Linked DNA regions of Saccharomyces cerevisiae S288C. Changing the gene in region 1 together with any one later gene gives a genetic interaction. Each region holds a gene or a part of one and is shown in the gene's direction. Other genes may lie near its edges.

Region 1 (6,125 bases):
CAATATTTTTGGGTGCCAACGATGCATGCTCAGCAGGTCCCCAAAGTGTCCCCCTCCCCGAATTTATCGATAATATTCGTCAAATGGTATCTTTGATGAAGTCTTACCATATCCGTCCTATTATAATAGGACCGGGGCTAGTAGATAGAGAGAAGTGGGAAAAAGAAAAATCTGAAGAAATAGCTCTCGGATACTTCCGTACCAACGAGAACTTTGCCATTTATTCCGATGCCTTAGCAAAACTAGCCAATGAGGAAAAAGTTCCCTTCGTGGCTTTGAATAAGGCGTTTCAACAGGAAGGTGGTGATGCTTGGCAACAACTGCTAACAGATGGACTGCACTTTTCCGGAAAAGGGTACAAAATTTTTCATGACGAATTATTGAAGGTCATTGAGACATTCTACCCCCAATATCATCCCAAAAACATGCAGTACAAACTGAAAGATTGGAGAGATGTGCTAGATGATGGATCTAACATAATGTCTTGAATGCAGTAATCCTTTGTACGTACTCTGTCTATATTTCCCTAACTTTTAAGCAACTGTATAATTTTTCATATACGGGATTTTCAGGAAAAAAAACAATAGAAATCTATAAAACATGTTTCCTTATTTTTACAGACGAGAGTTTTATTCTTGTGAAAACGTCGTTATCTTCTCCTCCAAACCAATTCAAGGAATAAAGATATCACGTATACGGGAGAGATACATAGAAATTATGTTATCCCGTGTTTCAGTTTTCAAACCTGCCAGCAGAGGCTTTTCCGTCTTATCATCTTTAAAGATAACAGAACATACATCAGCAAAACACACCGAAAAACCTGAGCATGCTCCCAAGTGTCAGAATTTATCAGATGCTCAGGCTGCATTTTTGGACCGTGTTATTCGTGTAGATCAAGCTGGCGAATTAGGTGCAGACTACATCTACGCTGGCCAGTACTTCGTGTTGGCTCATAGGTACCCTCACTTGAAACCTGTGCTAAAGCACATATGGGACCAGGAGATACATCATCATAATACTTTTAACAATTTGCAATTGAAAAGGAGAGTCAGGCCTTCCTTATTAACGCCTTTGTGGAAGGCAGGAGCCTTTGCAATGGGGGCTGGTACCGCATTGATTTCTCCAGAAGCAGCTATGGCTTGTACTGAAGCTGTCGAGACAGTAATCGGAGGGCACTACAATGGCCAATTGCGAAACTTGGCCAATCAATTCAATTTAGAAAGAACAGATGGAACAAAGGGTCCAAGTGAGGAAATCAAATCCTTAACTTCTACTATCCAACAGTTCAGGGATGACGAGCTAGAGCATCTAGACACCGCTATCAAGCATGATTCGTATATGGCAGTTCCATATACAGTTATCACTGAAGGTATTAAAACGATTTGCAGAGTAGCTATATGGAGTGCCGAAAGAATTTAACCACCAGAAAGTGGCATACATCAGTCGCGTTATGCCAGAAAAGGAGAATTGAAAGGAAAACGGTTTGATAAATGTCCTAATTAAACTATCATGTATAAAATTATGTATCATCCTTACGCATTTTAACGCTATATGACCAATATGACAGGAATAGATACACTGTCTATAATTATGTAAATGGGGTATGGGTTCATAGTCTAAGGGTGAGTACAAACTGGATCTTTAACAAGAGTAACAGTTAATTAGAGCAAAACTATAGTACATATAGCTTGAAAAAAACAAGCGGCTTGCCATTGGAAGAACATTGCATAAAAACGGGGCCACTGCTAATAATAAAGTGGTAATTAAAAAGAAAGCTTTTGTTCAAGGTTAAGAAGGTATAAGGAAATGCCGAACGAAGATAATGAACTTCAAAAAGCAATTGAGAACCATCATAATCAACTACTAAACCAGGATAAAGAAAATGCTGACAGAAATGGGTCTGTTATAGAAGACCTCCCATTATACGGGACAAGTATAAACCAGCAGTCTACCCCTGGAGATGTTGACGATGGAAAACACTTACTGTATCCAGATATTGCCACCAACCTACCACTGAAGACTTCTGACAGACTTTTGGACGATATACTTTGCGATACTATTTTTCTCAATTCTACAGACCCGAAGGTCATGCAAAAGGGCCTGCAATCGAGGGGTATTTTAAAAGAGTCTATGCTTTCTTACTCAACTTTCAGAAGTAGTATTCGCCCTAACTGCTTGGGTTCATTAACTGATCAAGTGGTTTTTCAAACAAAATCCGAGTATGATTCCATTTCATGCCCAAAATATAATAAAATACATGTATTTCAGGCGGTCATCTTTAATCCATCACTGGCAGAACAGCAAATTTCAACTTTTGATGATATTGTTAAAATTCCTATTTATCATCTTAAGGTTAGCGTAAAAGTCCGCCAAGAACTGGAGCGGTTGAAGAAGCATGTCGGTGTTACTCAATTCCACTCACTAGATCATTTGCACGAATACGATCGAGTAGACCTTTCGACTTTTGATTCTTCCGATCCTAATTTGTTGGATTACGGTATTTACGTTTCTGATGATACTAACAAACTGATCTTGATTGAAATTTTTAAACCCGAGTTTAATTCACCTGAAGAGCATGAGAGTTTTACTGCCGACGCAATTAAGAAGAGATACAATGCTATGTGTGTAAAAAATGAATCACTAGATAAAAGCGAGACGCCATCTCAAGTTGACTGTTTTTACACACTTTTTAAAATTTTTAAAGGGCCTTTGACGAGGAAAAGTAAAGCGGAACCTACAAAGACAATTGATTCTGGAAATTTGGCCCTTAACACTCACCTGAATCCTGAATGGTTAACGTCCAAGTATGGATTTCAAGCAAGCTCAGAAATCGATGAGGAAACTAATGAGATATTTACTGAATACGTCCCTCCAGATATGGTGGACTATGTAAACGATTTGGAGACAAGAAAAATTCGAGAATCGTTTGTGAGGAAGTGTTTACAACTGATATTTTGGGGTCAACTATCTACCTCATTACTGGCACCTAATTCTCCCTTGAAAAATACGAAAAGCGTAAAGGGAATGTCTTCATTACAAACTTCTTTCTCAACACTACCTTGGTTCCATTTATTGGGAGAATCCAGAGCAAGGATTCTATTAAATTCCAATGAGCAAACTCATTCGCCTTTGGACGCAGAACCTCATTTTATTAATCTTTCCGTTTCGCATTATTATACCGATAGAGATATAATCAGAAACTACGAATCTTTGTCTTCTTTGGATCCTGAAAATATTGGGCTGTATTTTGACGCACTGACATACATTGCAAATAGGAAGGGGGCATATCAATTGATTGCTTACTGTGGAAAACAGGACATTATAGGCCAAGAAGCTCTAGAAAATGCTTTGTTAATGTTTAAAATTAACCCTAAAGAGTGTAACATCTCCGAATTAAATGAGGCGACTTTGCTATCTATTTACAAATATGAAACATCAAATAAGAGCCAAGTAACCTCTAATCACCTAACAAATTTGAAAAATGCTCTAAGATTGTTGGCCAAATATACCAAATCTGACAAACTAAAATTTTACGTCGATCATGAGCCCTACAGAGCTTTATCCCAGGCATACGACACACTTTCAATTGACGAGTCTGTTGATGAAGACATTATAAAAACTGCATATTCGGTCAAGATTAACGACTCTCCCGGATTAAAGTTGGATTGTGATAGAGCACTTTACACCATTGCTATCAGTAAAAGAAGCCTTGATTTGTTCAATTTTTTAACAGAGGAATGCCCACAGTTTTCCAACTATTATGGTCCAGAGAAGCTTGATTACCAAGAGGCATTGAAGCTTCTTCAAGTGAATGAAAATGCCTCTGACGAAACCATTTTGAAAATCTTTAAACAAAAGTGGTTTGATGAAAACGTTTATGAGCCTGACCAATTTCTTATTTTGAGGGCAGCATTGACCAAAATCAGTATAGAAAGAAATTCAACTTTAATCACCAACTTCTTACTAACTGGTACGATAGATCCAAATTCCTTGCCGCCAGAAAATTGGCCAACTGGCATTAATAATATCGGGAACACCTGTTACCTAAATTCTTTATTACAATATTACTTTTCCATTGCGCCACTAAGAAGATATGTATTGGAATATCAAAAAACGGTAGAAAATTTCAATGACCACCTCTCTAATAGTGGGCATATTAGAAGAATTGGTGGAAGAGAAATTAGTAGAGGCGAAGTGGAAAGATCTATTCAATTCATATACCAACTTCGCAACCTTTTCTATGCGATGGTTCATACAAGAGAAAGATGTGTAACACCCTCAAAAGAGCTAGCATATTTGGCATTTGCTCCAAGTAATGTTGAAGTAGAATTTGAAGTGGAAGGCAATAAAGTAGTTGATCAAACAGGAGTTCTTTCGGATTCAAAGAAGGAAACAACGGATGACGCATTTACTACAAAAATAAAGGATACAAGCCTGATTGATTTAGAAATGGAAGATGGCCTTAATGGCGATGTTGGTACAGATGCGAACAGAAAAAAAAATGAATCGAATGATGCTGAAGTAAGTGAGAACGAAGATACAACAGGATTAACTTCACCTACGCGTGTGGCAAAAATCAGTTCTGATCAATTAGAAAATGCTTTGGAAATGGGTAGGCAACAAGATGTTACTGAATGCATAGGAAACGTGTTATTTCAGATAGAAAGCGGTTCAGAGCCTATCCGATATGATGAAGACAACGAGCAATATGACTTGGTTAAGCAACTATTTTATGGTACTACTAAACAAAGTATTGTTCCTTTGTCCGCAACAAATAAAGTCCGTACGAAAGTTGAAAGATTCCTATCGTTACTGATAAATATTGGCGATCATCCTAAAGATATTTATGATGCGTTTGATTCTTATTTTAAAGACGAATATCTGACAATGGAAGAGTATGGTGATGTTATACGTACCGTTGCTGTTACAACTTTTCCTACTATTTTGCAGGTACAAATCCAAAGAGTTTATTACGATCGTGAAAGATTAATGCCGTTTAAATCCATTGAGCCCTTACCATTCAAAGAAGTTATTTACATGGACAGATACGCGGATACAGAGAACCCTTTATTGTTGGCAAAAAAGAAAGAAACAGAAGAAATGAAGCAAAAGTTGAAGGTAATGAAAAATAGACAAAGAGAGCTTTTGAGTCGTGATGATTCAGGGCTTACAAGGAAGGATGCATTTTTGGAGAGTATCAAGCTATTGGAATCGGATACCATAAAGAAAACTCCTTTAAAAATTGAGGCTGCTAATGATGTGATAAAGACGCTGAGAAACAACGTTCAAAATATCGATAATGAATTGATGAAATTATACAATGATATCAACAGTTTGGAAGAGAAAATAAGCCATCAATTTGACGATTTCAAGGAATATGGTTACTCACTGTTTTCGGTTTTTATTCATCGCGGCGAGGCCAGTTATGGTCACTATTGGATATATATCAAGGACAGAAATCGCAATGGAATTTGGAGGAAGTACAATGATGAAACCATCAGTGAGGTCCAGGAAGAGGAGGTCTTCAATTTCAATGAGGGTAACACTGCAACTCCATATTTCCTAGTATATGTCAAACAAGGACAAGAAGGTGATATTGAGCCATTGAAAAGAATTCTAAAGTAGTCTTAGTCAATGAAGAGTTTATGTAAAATGTCACTATTGCCATAAGTACCATTATTATGTAAAAAGCTTTGCCATATTCAATCGTTACGGGTGACTATCTGCTACGTAAAGAAAAACGAAAAAACAAAAAAAAAAAGAACAAGCTCATAGAAGTGAATACGAAAGCTGAAGAAAGTCGTTAAGTAGATAGGTTGCGTAAACTAGGTGCGTCCAATCAAAGTAATCCAATTAGATATACTGGACTATAATTAAGATGTCATCTGAAAGCCCACAGGATCAACCACAGAAGGAGCAAATCAGCAATAACGTCGGCGTTACCACCAATAGTACAAGCAATGAGGAAACAAGCCGCTCTCAAGATGATAATGTCAAGGAAGTCAATGGAAATGATGATACTAAAGAAGAGGAACAAGAAGAAGACGCAGAACTAGATGATTTATTTGGAGATGACAATGATGACGATGATGATGATGATGTTAAAAAATCGGAGACTGAAAAAA
Region 2 (4,991 bases), on another chromosome or scaffold:
TACGCCACGAACTCCCAGTCAGGATATCTCCCAAGTCAAAATTCCCCAGCAATTCCAATGGTGAGACCTGTTATTTCCATGAATCAGCAGCAAGCGCAACAGATACAAGCCCAGCAATTGCAGGCACAACAGATGCAGGCAAAGCAACAGATGCAAGCCAAGCAGCAGATGCAAGTTCAGCAACAACTGCAAGTCCAACAGCAAATGCAAATTCAAAATGCAAATAATAATGGTACTTACGTCTCTGATAGAACAAATCATACCACAGAAGATATGAGAAATGCTCAGGGGGGTGAACCTCCAATTCTTGCAGGAAATTCTGCAAATGAACCAATGCACTCATCCTCTAAAAATGAAGCTCTCTTAATTGAACTATCTCCATTAAAAGAAGATGCAGGAAAGCAATCTTTCCAAGATACAAATGAGCCTCAAACTGGCGGTATCGAAGATGCCGGCGGTTCAGGAACTATCAAAGGCTCGAACAATAATCGAAATGGCGTTTTAAATTTAAGTTTGAATGAGATGGACTTATCAAGAGATGATACTGGTGCTGCTGTCTCCTCCTTTTCATCGTCTTCATCGTCTGCATCAATTCAACAAGCTAAGCTTTCTGGACGCAAAGGTTCCAGTAAGAGGAACAATTATTCAACAGACGAATTGGGAGATAGTATGGTCTCCAGCGAAAGCATTGATATTGATTTGGATGATGCAAGGAGAGGAAAAACAGCTGAAAGAAGACCACTCCATAATGAAAGAGGTCATAAAGACCAGGCAAGATCAAGTGATGCTAGTAAGTCTAATCAATTCAAAAGCAAGGACTTCAGCAGCGTATCAACAAGGCAACCGCGGCAGTCATTGGATCTGAATTTCCAGGAAGTAAATCTGTCTTCACCAACGTTAACTCAAGAGCATAGAAATAAAAACGACTCGCCAGCACCAAATTCACATCACTCGTATAGAGTTTCACCTCATGCTTCCACCGCAATAACTGAGAATAAGCGCCACAGTACTGGTCACGAACTGTCAACCCGGTCAAATGGCAAGCATGAAACACACAGGACTGGTTCCAAGCAAAGGCACGATTTGGAAAGATACCGGCATTCGAAGGATAAGGATAGCAATAGCAGCATTACTATTAGCACCTCAACTCCATCAGAGATGAGAAAATCCTTCGCTAGGGCCCGTCAATCGCTTGATTTGGAAAGGGTCCGTCGTGAAGCGATGGCAAGTAGTGCATCCAGTAGTGGTGGCAGTAACGGGAAAAGGAGATCTTTTTTCTCAGTCTTTAGAAGCGAGAAATGATTCGATAAATAGAGCACATATAAAATCATATACATACATTGTTACATATAGAGGCGCAGACAATCCGTATATCTTCCTCAAAAACTAAATTGATAGAACAATAGTAACTCAAATCATATGCATTAAGCATATCGTGCGAGATGACGTTTACTCCTGACGCGCTTAACGAGAAGCGGTTAAGTGAAGAGTAATAGTGCTCGCAATTTGACAGAAATGACACCATTTTAAAAGTACTAGAGATAAAGAGTGTAGAAACCGGAAGAACAAAGGTGGAACATATCATAAGGGGAAGAAATGACACAACATAAAAGCTCGATGGTGTACATACCCACCACTAAGGAAGCTAAAAGACGTAATGGGAAATCAGAAGGCATACTAAATACTATTGAAGAAGTGGTGGAAAAGCTTTATTGGACCTACTACATACATTTACCCTTTTATTTAATGGCCTCTTTTGATTCATTCTTCCTCCATGTTTTTTTTCTCACAATTTTCAGTTTGAGTTTCTTCGGTATACTAAAGTATTGCTTCCTTTGAATGATTATTTATATCCTTATTCGGTTAATAATAGTATAAGCTGGAGGCAAGGGGACAGAAAATTTAGGAGGATATCATGGAGGATAGAGTTACATAAATATACACACAATACATAAACTAATAATTGCTTGTGGCTATAGGATATAATTTATAACAGTTGATGTGCCTTTGAAAAATGACATCGTTTGGAATGAGATCAAATTTATCACTTGATGAAATCACAGTGAAAAGCGACTTGCAATGGCAGTAGAGATGACAGGTAAATTCATCCAAAAAGAGAGCCCGAAGTCTTTCTCACATTCAGAAATGGCAGAAGCAGTACTAGAAAACGTTAACGTTCCTGCAGTCGTTTCAAAAGATGAGTGTATTTATTGCTTTGAATCCCCTTATAATGAACCATTGGCCCTCAATGCATCACCTAAACATTCATTGAATATATGCTTAAACTGTTTCCAAGCTACGTGCAACAGACATGTTCCACTCCATATCCGAGTCACAGAATATGCTTGCGATACCATACATTCCAATTATTTAACTATTGCTAAAGTGGAGAAACCTAAGCAAGAAAATGTAGAAGAAAATAATAACAACAAAAAAATAAAGCTACAGGTAATTGAGACGTCAGAAGACGACACCCACAACACTATTTGGAGTTTACAAAGGTTCAATGGTGAAAATGTTCCCAGGACCGTACTTTCGAAGTCGACAGACTCTGACATTTCTTCTACGGCCTTGGAGAAGATTGAAAAGATATTAAAGGCGAAGTCACAAGACTTCGAGGATAAGAAGAACTCCTGGGTGTTAGAAATCAGCACCTGTCCACATACAGAAAACTTTCAAATTCCATCTAAGCCCGAAAATACTGTGAATTTAAACCAATGCTCTTCCTGTGATTTGACTCAAAATCTCTGGTTATGCCTACATTGTGGTAATATCGGATGTGGCAGGGAACAAATCGGGATTGATGGTCACTCGCATGCTTTGGATCATTATCGGAGTAATAATAATCACCCATTAGCTATCAAATTAGGGTCTTTAAGCTCTTCAACCTATGATCTGTATTGTTACGCATGTGACGACGAAACTAGATTTCCAGATAATGTTAATTTAGGCAGTGCACTACAAATATACGGAATTAACATACAAGAAAAGATTGCGGATGAAAAGACTCTAGTTCAATTACAAGTGGAACAGAACGAAAATTGGCAATTTAGAATGGTCGATTCTAGCGGTAAAGAATTTGAAAAATTATCCGCTAGTAAGAATTATGGCTGTGGTCTGATCAATTTGGGTAATTCCTGTTACTTAAATTCGGTTATACAAAGCTTGGTGAATGGTGGCGTCCCGAATTGGTCCTTGGATTTTCTAGGAAGTAAATTTCCACTGGATGTTGTATATCCGGACAATAATTTAAAGTGCCAATGGATCAAGCTACTCAATGCCATGAAATGTGAACCCGAACTATATCCAAATGGTATCAAACCTACTACTTTCAAGAAATGCATTGGGCAAAATCATCAGGAATTCAGTTCCAATAGACAACAGGATGCGATGGAATTTCTAACCTTCCTTTTAGACTTGTTAGACAAGAAATTTTTTTCAAGTAGTTCTTCAGGTATTCCAAATCCCAACGATTTAGTTAGATTTATGATGGAGGATAGGCTCCAATGTAACATTTGCGGGAAGGTTAAATATTCTTATGAACCCACAGAGGCTATACAGATTCCCTTAGAGGAGAATGATGAACCTCAAGATATGTTAGAGAGAATCAAGGCGTATTTTGAAGGGCAGACGATTGAATTTAAATGTGCTAATTGTAAGGAAAAGGTTACCGCAAATAAAAAACCTGGTTTCAAATCTCTTCCTCAAACACTTATTTTGAACCCAATAAGGATTAGATTACAGAACTGGATTCCTGTTAAGACAAGTAATGAGCTTTCTTTACCAGGTTTAATAGACAGGGATGATATGCTAGATGTTTCGTCTTATTTATCACAAGGATTTGATCCTCAAACTGAAAACTTATTGCCTGATGAGGACGAAAACCGTAGCTCTTTTACGCCAAACCAATGCAGTATTTCTCAATTAATTGAAATGGGCTTTACTCAAAATGCTAGCGTGCGCGCCCTATTTAACACCGGAAACCAAGACGCTGAGAGCGCTATGAATTGGCTATTCCAGCATATGGATGACCCTGATTTAAATGATCCCTTTGTCCCGCCTCCTAATGTCCCCAAGAAAGATAAGAGAGAAGTGGATGAGGTATCATTGACTTCAATGTTATCCATGGGACTAAATCCCAACTTATGTCGTAAAGCCTTGATACTCAACAACGGAGATGTTAATCGTAGTGTTGAATGGGTATTTAACAACATGGATGATGATGGAACATTTCCCGAACCTGAAGTGCCAAATGAAGAACAGCAACAAAAAAAGGATCTTGGATATTCGACCGCTAAACCGTACGCTTTAACTGCAGTTATTTGTCATAAGGGAAATTCTGTCCATTCTGGTCACTATGTTGTTTTTATTCGTAAACTAGTGGCAGACAAATGGAAGTGGGTTCTTTATAACGATGAGAAACTAGTTGCTGCCGACAGCATTGAAGATATGAAAAAAAATGGTTATATTTATTTCTATACAAGATGCTAAAAGAACGTTTACACACACACACACACACACACACACATATATATATATATATATATATATATATATATATATATATTTTGCATTATATGTGTATGATCAAATCTATCGAGTTAAATATTTCTACATATTTCAGTAATAAATCCATTTCCATTAGCTATTTTGCAATGTTTTTTCTTTTTTTTTTTTGCTGCTGTTACCTTCGCCGCTAAAAAATCATTTAAAACAAGAAAAGAGTACATTGTTTGATGAAACAACAAGCAAGAAATGTAAACGATAGTCAAACTTAGTAAGAAGAGAATCAGCTGGCTTGGTACTTGATCTTTTGATTTGACCTCATTCTTTTTGCATACACGGCTCGTTTGGAATACTGTTGTAAAAATGAATTACATGGCTTATGATTATGATCCCCAACATTCGTTGGAAACGTCCTTTAACAATTTGGCATTTCATCCCCACCAACAGTCACAGCAACAAGCCCTATACGAATCTGGTGAAAGAAA
Region 3 (3,813 bases), on another chromosome or scaffold:
AACCTATGATCTGTATTGTTACGCATGTGACGACGAAACTAGATTTCCAGATAATGTTAATTTAGGCAGTGCACTACAAATATACGGAATTAACATACAAGAAAAGATTGCGGATGAAAAGACTCTAGTTCAATTACAAGTGGAACAGAACGAAAATTGGCAATTTAGAATGGTCGATTCTAGCGGTAAAGAATTTGAAAAATTATCCGCTAGTAAGAATTATGGCTGTGGTCTGATCAATTTGGGTAATTCCTGTTACTTAAATTCGGTTATACAAAGCTTGGTGAATGGTGGCGTCCCGAATTGGTCCTTGGATTTTCTAGGAAGTAAATTTCCACTGGATGTTGTATATCCGGACAATAATTTAAAGTGCCAATGGATCAAGCTACTCAATGCCATGAAATGTGAACCCGAACTATATCCAAATGGTATCAAACCTACTACTTTCAAGAAATGCATTGGGCAAAATCATCAGGAATTCAGTTCCAATAGACAACAGGATGCGATGGAATTTCTAACCTTCCTTTTAGACTTGTTAGACAAGAAATTTTTTTCAAGTAGTTCTTCAGGTATTCCAAATCCCAACGATTTAGTTAGATTTATGATGGAGGATAGGCTCCAATGTAACATTTGCGGGAAGGTTAAATATTCTTATGAACCCACAGAGGCTATACAGATTCCCTTAGAGGAGAATGATGAACCTCAAGATATGTTAGAGAGAATCAAGGCGTATTTTGAAGGGCAGACGATTGAATTTAAATGTGCTAATTGTAAGGAAAAGGTTACCGCAAATAAAAAACCTGGTTTCAAATCTCTTCCTCAAACACTTATTTTGAACCCAATAAGGATTAGATTACAGAACTGGATTCCTGTTAAGACAAGTAATGAGCTTTCTTTACCAGGTTTAATAGACAGGGATGATATGCTAGATGTTTCGTCTTATTTATCACAAGGATTTGATCCTCAAACTGAAAACTTATTGCCTGATGAGGACGAAAACCGTAGCTCTTTTACGCCAAACCAATGCAGTATTTCTCAATTAATTGAAATGGGCTTTACTCAAAATGCTAGCGTGCGCGCCCTATTTAACACCGGAAACCAAGACGCTGAGAGCGCTATGAATTGGCTATTCCAGCATATGGATGACCCTGATTTAAATGATCCCTTTGTCCCGCCTCCTAATGTCCCCAAGAAAGATAAGAGAGAAGTGGATGAGGTATCATTGACTTCAATGTTATCCATGGGACTAAATCCCAACTTATGTCGTAAAGCCTTGATACTCAACAACGGAGATGTTAATCGTAGTGTTGAATGGGTATTTAACAACATGGATGATGATGGAACATTTCCCGAACCTGAAGTGCCAAATGAAGAACAGCAACAAAAAAAGGATCTTGGATATTCGACCGCTAAACCGTACGCTTTAACTGCAGTTATTTGTCATAAGGGAAATTCTGTCCATTCTGGTCACTATGTTGTTTTTATTCGTAAACTAGTGGCAGACAAATGGAAGTGGGTTCTTTATAACGATGAGAAACTAGTTGCTGCCGACAGCATTGAAGATATGAAAAAAAATGGTTATATTTATTTCTATACAAGATGCTAAAAGAACGTTTACACACACACACACACACACACACACATATATATATATATATATATATATATATATATATATATATTTTGCATTATATGTGTATGATCAAATCTATCGAGTTAAATATTTCTACATATTTCAGTAATAAATCCATTTCCATTAGCTATTTTGCAATGTTTTTTCTTTTTTTTTTTTGCTGCTGTTACCTTCGCCGCTAAAAAATCATTTAAAACAAGAAAAGAGTACATTGTTTGATGAAACAACAAGCAAGAAATGTAAACGATAGTCAAACTTAGTAAGAAGAGAATCAGCTGGCTTGGTACTTGATCTTTTGATTTGACCTCATTCTTTTTGCATACACGGCTCGTTTGGAATACTGTTGTAAAAATGAATTACATGGCTTATGATTATGATCCCCAACATTCGTTGGAAACGTCCTTTAACAATTTGGCATTTCATCCCCACCAACAGTCACAGCAACAAGCCCTATACGAATCTGGTGAAAGAAACGATGCCAGGCCGGGATTAATGAACACCTTAGGTCAGGCGAGTAAAATGAATAATTCCATGCTTCCTCAAGGTTCGTCGGCTAGTCCCTTAACGGGTCAACATAGCTTGAACAGTACAACAAATTTCAACATGCCCCCATCAATGAATACCTATAATTACCAGAATGTACCACAAGCATCTATGAGAAATACTCTCAATCATAACAATATCATGAATGGGGCAACTGCTAATGATTATTGGCTGGATCCAATGAATAATATGACAAATAACAAGGATACTAATGGGAATCCTAATGACTCGATGTCATCAATGTCTAATATGACCGCTAAAACCTCAATCAATAGTACGGCATTCAAGAATTCATTTGTTCCTTTTAATCATGTGACAGCGCTCTCAATGAATAATGTCAACAGCAATGAGATGAATTCAAATAAAGATGACAGAATGGAAGCATTGGAAGTAGAACTACAAATAAAGGAAAGTCAAATCGAATCACTCGAGAACGAAATTCAAAGGCTAAAGAAAATTTTCAACGAGGGGCTAAACTACAAGCAGAATGAGCATAAGTATGAGAAGGAAAACTGCCATATACCCCAAACTTTCGAATTGCCAGCTTCCTTGGAAGTGATATTCAGAAAACTGTCATCGTCACTGCATGCAAAGGAAAAGGAGTTAGCAGAGACGAAAGAAAATCTGGAAAGTATATTAACTGCACTGGCGCTAAATCCAACAAATTCAGTGACTAAGTATGGCAGGTATGATGCAGAATCGATTGCTCACAAAATGGTGGTAAGATTAGAAAACTTAACAAACGAGAACAAAGAAATGGCCAAGATGTTAGCATATGGCAGATCAAAAGAGACCCAAATTGAACTGCAGTTGGCCAAAAAAGAAAATCTAGAATTAAGAGAAAAAATCGCATCTTTGGAAGCCCATTTGGCTTCAAAGGAGTCTTCAAAGGAGGACGTTGCTAATTGAAAGAGGTTTACTCATTATCGAGAACATATGGCTAATTCTAAAAAACGAAAAAGAATAATATGCAAATATATAGATATGTGTATATGATACAAGCTTTTTTCATGAAAAATAAACGGAAGAGAATTTTTGCTTTTGTCCTACACGAGGAATGTATCAAAGACTATTACTTTTTTAAGTATGTTGTCTTAGATGGCTGAGTTTTATGCTTTTTCCAAAAAGAGCAACGTAGCTGTTATTTATTTACTTAGTTATTACCTCCAGATAACGTGTCTAATCTCTTACCTCTATTTATAAAAATTATTCATTAAAATACTATTGAAAATTGGAGTATATACTTACAAACGTATATATTTTTTTAGAAGCATCAAGGCAAGATCAAAGCTATGCCGCTTTGTTCCTGATGTTCTCCATTTTTTGCTGGCTTCATTAACAAAGACGTACTTTTAATCCTAGAGGTTCATAAAAGTGAACAATCAGTGTGAACTTTTATGGATATTACATAATACATTTAACGGCATTCCATTTAACAATAAAATTCAAATGTGCTCAGCTGTGATTCATTGAAATGATAGGATACATATTATTCGTTATGCCACTCGCAAACGTACAGCGGAAAATTTTGTGTGTGTAAATTATCTTGATGGTAACCACCGGAAACAATATAGGAAGACTACTCCACGAAGAAAAGCGTTCATGATGATACAAGGCAAACCACAGCTTACAAGGCA
Region 4 (3,920 bases), on another chromosome or scaffold:
CACGATTTAGCGGAGAACTCTGAATCTGCATTGAATTTGAATGTACTTTCATCTGTGTAAAGCTTAAATGTTTTCGTAGCACTCCCGTTTAAGGTATGTTTTTGTGTTTCAATTTTTTGGACCTCCCTCAAATCTATGGTTAAAACCGGAAAGTATAGCTCAGTTGATGAGGTATACATAGAAAATAAATGATTCTTTAGTACGCACCAATACCTGGTAGACCTAATTAGTTTTGTCCTGATATTAAGGTTTCCAGACATTTTAACCGACCGAGGATTCTTAGGTAAATATGCAAAGAATAGGAAATGTTTTGTTGTAATAAAAATATGGCCTTGAACCAACACATCTTTAAGTAGCCATGCAGGGAAATCATTCAAAAATGGTTCCTGTTCGTCTAAACAAAACCGCTGTCTCAACTTAGCCACATTGTCTTTTGACAGTTTTTCCCTAGTTATTGAGAAGTCGAATAAAGTTGGCTTTCTTTTGTCTAATCTTGGTACTTCCGGATGCGATTTAGTTTTGAGATTTTCCTTTTTGCTTTTTACCTCATTTCGACCAATGTTTTCCTGGAAACTATCACTGGAATCAGATTCTTCAGAATCAACTTGCGACAACACATTCATTTCTTGAGCATTATTCATCCCTGCATACACACTAGCAGTAGTTAATAAACCGGCAATACTTTTCATCATATACTTGGATTTCGCCAAGTCATCTGCATTATCGTTATTGTAACCGTTTTCGTCATCATCACTACGGGCTTCATTTGGACTGTCCTGCAGTTCTTGCTGCTCAGACGACCCCATCGATAAACTGCTATTTGATCTTCCTCTCCAGCGCTTGAACTTCGAAAGTGACCTTGAAAGGCGATGATGCCTAGGGGAAGTTTCTGGCTCAGATGGCTTATCAGGTACCAACGAAATGCTTGGTTTTGGCCCCGCCTCGCTATCAGACGCTGATATGATTTGAGTGATGGGCATTCTTTTAAGTTATACGGATTTTCACCAAAGCATAAAGTGCAACTGAACTTCTGATGTTTACTTTTTGACAGCCATGACTTTATCAGTGATAAATGCAATGACTTTCCGATCTACTCCTTCTGTTGACTTTTAGTCCCTTTTTTCTTAGATGTTATGTTACAGTCACATCAGGGTTAAGTTTTTCCAAGTCATCTCAAAACAATGACCTATTTTATTTCTAGATAAACCCTGGTGTAAGCAGGGTTAATTTTGTCCCAAACGGGCAAAATATAAATACCCCTTTCGGGAAATAAACTAAAAAGAGTTCTAATTAGCCAATTGGCAAGAAAGCTCGATGAAGAATCATTATGGGTTTAGAAATCAGATTTCCTTACTTTACAAGTTCTCTCACGCAAGCTTGATCGTTTTTAAATTTTCTACGTTCATTCAAGACAAAGTGGTTACAGATAGAAGTTTTTCTCACATTTAGATTATTTTTTCCTGATAGTATTAAATAACACGTACGATCAACAAATTGTTGCTCAGTTTAAGTGAGCCTAGAGAATTAAGCTTTATTACTGCTGTATTTTCTGTTATTTTGATTGCCTTGGGAATAAAGGAAAGGTTTGGAGGGGCACATCTTCCTAAATAGCAGTAAGGAAAAAGAATCGCGTGTGAAGTCTTTTAAATCAACATAGTTATCCTCGGTTCCAACTATTTTACTTTCGTTTCAATTCCGTTGTTCTTAACTAATCTTCTTTTCTTTTAACTTGTTACAAGCCAGTACTCATTGCAAAATCAAAAAAAAAAAACACAACTAATAAACTAAACAACTAAAAAAATGAATTCTCCAACAATGAAATCGGAACAACTTACTCCAAAACTCTCACCAATGTCCTTTTGTTTGGATGACCAAAGAAATGCAGGCTCTTTTCAAAATCTATTGAACTCACCTACGAAGCTAAAATTAGACACTGGCCCGATTGGTAATTCCTTGTTATATCCAACATCACTCTCTAAATTGAGCGAGTTATCAAGAGGTGGACGTTCTAAACAAAGAAGGGGCTCTGACACTATGAGGTCTGTATCGCCTATTAGGTTTCAGTTTTTGAACAACACTCCAAAGATGTTAAAACCCGAGTACCTATCTCAAACAACCAGTAATCTGCCATTGCTATCTGCCCTATTGAAGAATAGCAAGAAAACTACTAGTGAAGGCCAGAATTCAAACCCTGATCCATTGAACATAGAGAAAAACATCATTAAACAAAGCATCAAGGACAAACTAGAGCAGCTGCGCAGTTCAGAATCCGTTGCGCAAGTACAAAAGAAAGAACGCAATCCCCCTTCATTTGAGGCCAAAGTCTGTGCGGAAGAACCGATATTACGGAAAAACGCCGAAGGGTTGCTCCCCTCATACGTTCCTGTTCCTGCTACTCCTTTGGAAGATCCAGAAAATCATGGGGTGCGAAAGGTCGAGGACAAAGGACTTAGAGTCGTCTCCGGCGGCTCCACTCAGTGTCTAAGCACCGAAGTGAACGAATTGCCTAAGGATCTGAATCTAGACAATTTACCTACGGATAATAACGGGTTCGTTCAATATGGTCTCAAAGGCAATAACAACAACAACAGATATAGCTTTATCTCGTCTACGTCGACGGACTATGAGCCCGAATGGTGTGACGGACAACAACATATTTCAATGCAAATGGCCTCTATGGCCAATGCAGAGGAGGCAAATAGTCGTGAAAAATCGAATTTAGACATAAAGATCAAGCAGCTAGAACTTGAAATTACAGAATTAAAGTTGCAGAATGAAAAATTAGTGCATTCCATGACGACGAACAGATACATTGAAGAAAGATTTATGCTTGAGGTTATGAAGGATCCTAGTATACAGGCTCAAAGATCCCAAAGAGATATTGAGAGAAAAGTCAAGCAACTGGAGAAAAAATTCTTCAATTGTAAAAAAGTTCTTAAGAAATTGACTGAATCCTCCGCAGTAGTGGCCACCTCCACTTCAAAAACTGAAGGAAATTCAGCAAGAATCCCATGCCCTAAGACTAGACTGGCACGCGTTTCTGTTTTAGACCTAAAGAAAATTGAAGAACAGCCAGATTCTTCTTCGGGAACTTCGTCCGAGGAAGATCATCTAACAAACGATGATACGGATGCTAATACTAGCGAAGATTTAAATGTTGCTTTTGAAGAGGAGCCAACTTCTGCTATTTCCACAACAGCATCTGTGCAGAGTGGGGAAAGTAAAAGAGGTTTCCAACTTAACCTTCCTGTCCAAGTGGAGAAGAAGGAAAAATGAAGCGTCAACTTCAAATTAAATTAACTTATTTTACACAAACATTCACAATACATCAATGCTGATAGGCGCTTTGTATTGTAGGCTATCGAGTTACGCATCTGCAATGTGCGTGATTTCTCCGTTATCCATCCTTCTCATTGGACAATTTTTATTTGAATATTACTGAACTTCAAAGGGCTTGTCGTGTGATTTAATCTTTTTTCTTACAACGTCGAATGCTGCAGCTATTTATTCATAGTGTCGTCTAAGCAAATACCCCGCTTTTAAAAGCTGAATAGAAAATCCAATCACGGTGTGACTGGTATCACAAACACATAATTTATATATTGCATTCAAGTTTATTCAACCTATACTTAAATACATTAATTACCAAAAAAAATGATATAATAAAGTCTTCTTTTATCTGATTAATGACACCTTTTTCAGCGGGCCAAATTTTTTTTATTTCCGAAGCCCGCCGGACTAATATTAATTATATCAGATAGTTGGTGAGCAAACGCATGTGGAAATGAACAACAATTTCGAAAGTGCATATACTATCTATAAATATCAAGGGGATTCTATACTATAACAATACCTGCGATGTCATCCACAGCAGTACCACGACCTAAACCTTGGGAGACCAGTGCTTCGTTAGAGGAGCC

What was found.
Region 2: mutations in UBP2 (region 1) and UBP14 together harm fitness more than expected from each alone (negative genetic interaction), as found in Saccharomyces cerevisiae (3 studies listed by BioGRID, with this or other methods).
Region 3: mutations in UBP2 (region 1) and MUM2 together harm fitness more than expected from each alone (negative genetic interaction), as found in Saccharomyces cerevisiae (2 studies listed by BioGRID).
Region 4: mutations in UBP2 (region 1) and MMR1 together harm fitness more than expected from each alone (negative genetic interaction), as found in Saccharomyces cerevisiae (3 studies listed by BioGRID).

What each region holds. Positions count from the first base shown.
Region 1 is NC_001147.6:554,324-560,448, reverse strand, and holds UBP2 (ubiquitin-specific protease UBP2), read left to right. Parts: upstream 1-1,806; coding exon 1,807-5,625; downstream 5,626-6,125. Other genes in the region: IAH1 (isoamyl acetate-hydrolyzing esterase), read left to right, coding at 1-488; putative monooxygenase CAT5, read left to right, coding at 718-1,419; Paf1-complex subunit LEO1, read left to right, coding at 5,879-6,125. UniProt on the Saccharomyces cerevisiae protein: Has an ATP-independent isopeptidase activity, cleaving at the C-terminus of the ubiquitin moiety in natural or engineered linear fusion proteins, irrespective of their size or the presence of an N-terminal extension to ubiquitin.
Region 2 is NC_001134.8:353,172-358,162, reverse strand, and holds UBP14 (ubiquitin-specific protease UBP14), read left to right. Parts: upstream 1-2,145; coding exon 2,146-4,491; downstream 4,492-4,991. Other genes in the region: serine/threonine protein kinase AKL1, read left to right, coding at 1-1,302; TSC3 (Tsc3p), read left to right, coding at 1,597-1,839; MUM2 (Mum2p), read left to right, coding at 4,870-4,991. UniProt on the Saccharomyces cerevisiae protein: Required for the adaptation to the presence of glucose in the growth medium; mediates the degradation of enzymes involved in gluconeogenesis when cells are shifted to glucose-containing medium.
Region 3 is NC_001134.8:351,465-355,277, reverse strand, and holds MUM2 (Mum2p), read left to right. Parts: upstream 1-1,984; coding exon 1,985-3,085; downstream 3,086-3,813. Other genes in the region: ubiquitin-specific protease UBP14, read left to right, coding at 1-1,606.
Region 4 is NC_001144.5:533,414-537,333, forward strand, and holds MMR1 (Mmr1p), read left to right. Parts: upstream 1-1,800; coding exon 1,801-3,276; downstream 3,277-3,920. Other genes in the region: ATG26 (sterol 3-beta-glucosyltransferase), read right to left, coding at 1-980; peroxin PEX13, read left to right, coding at 3,859-3,920. UniProt on the Saccharomyces cerevisiae protein: Involved in the guiding of mitochondrial tubules to the bud tip during cell division.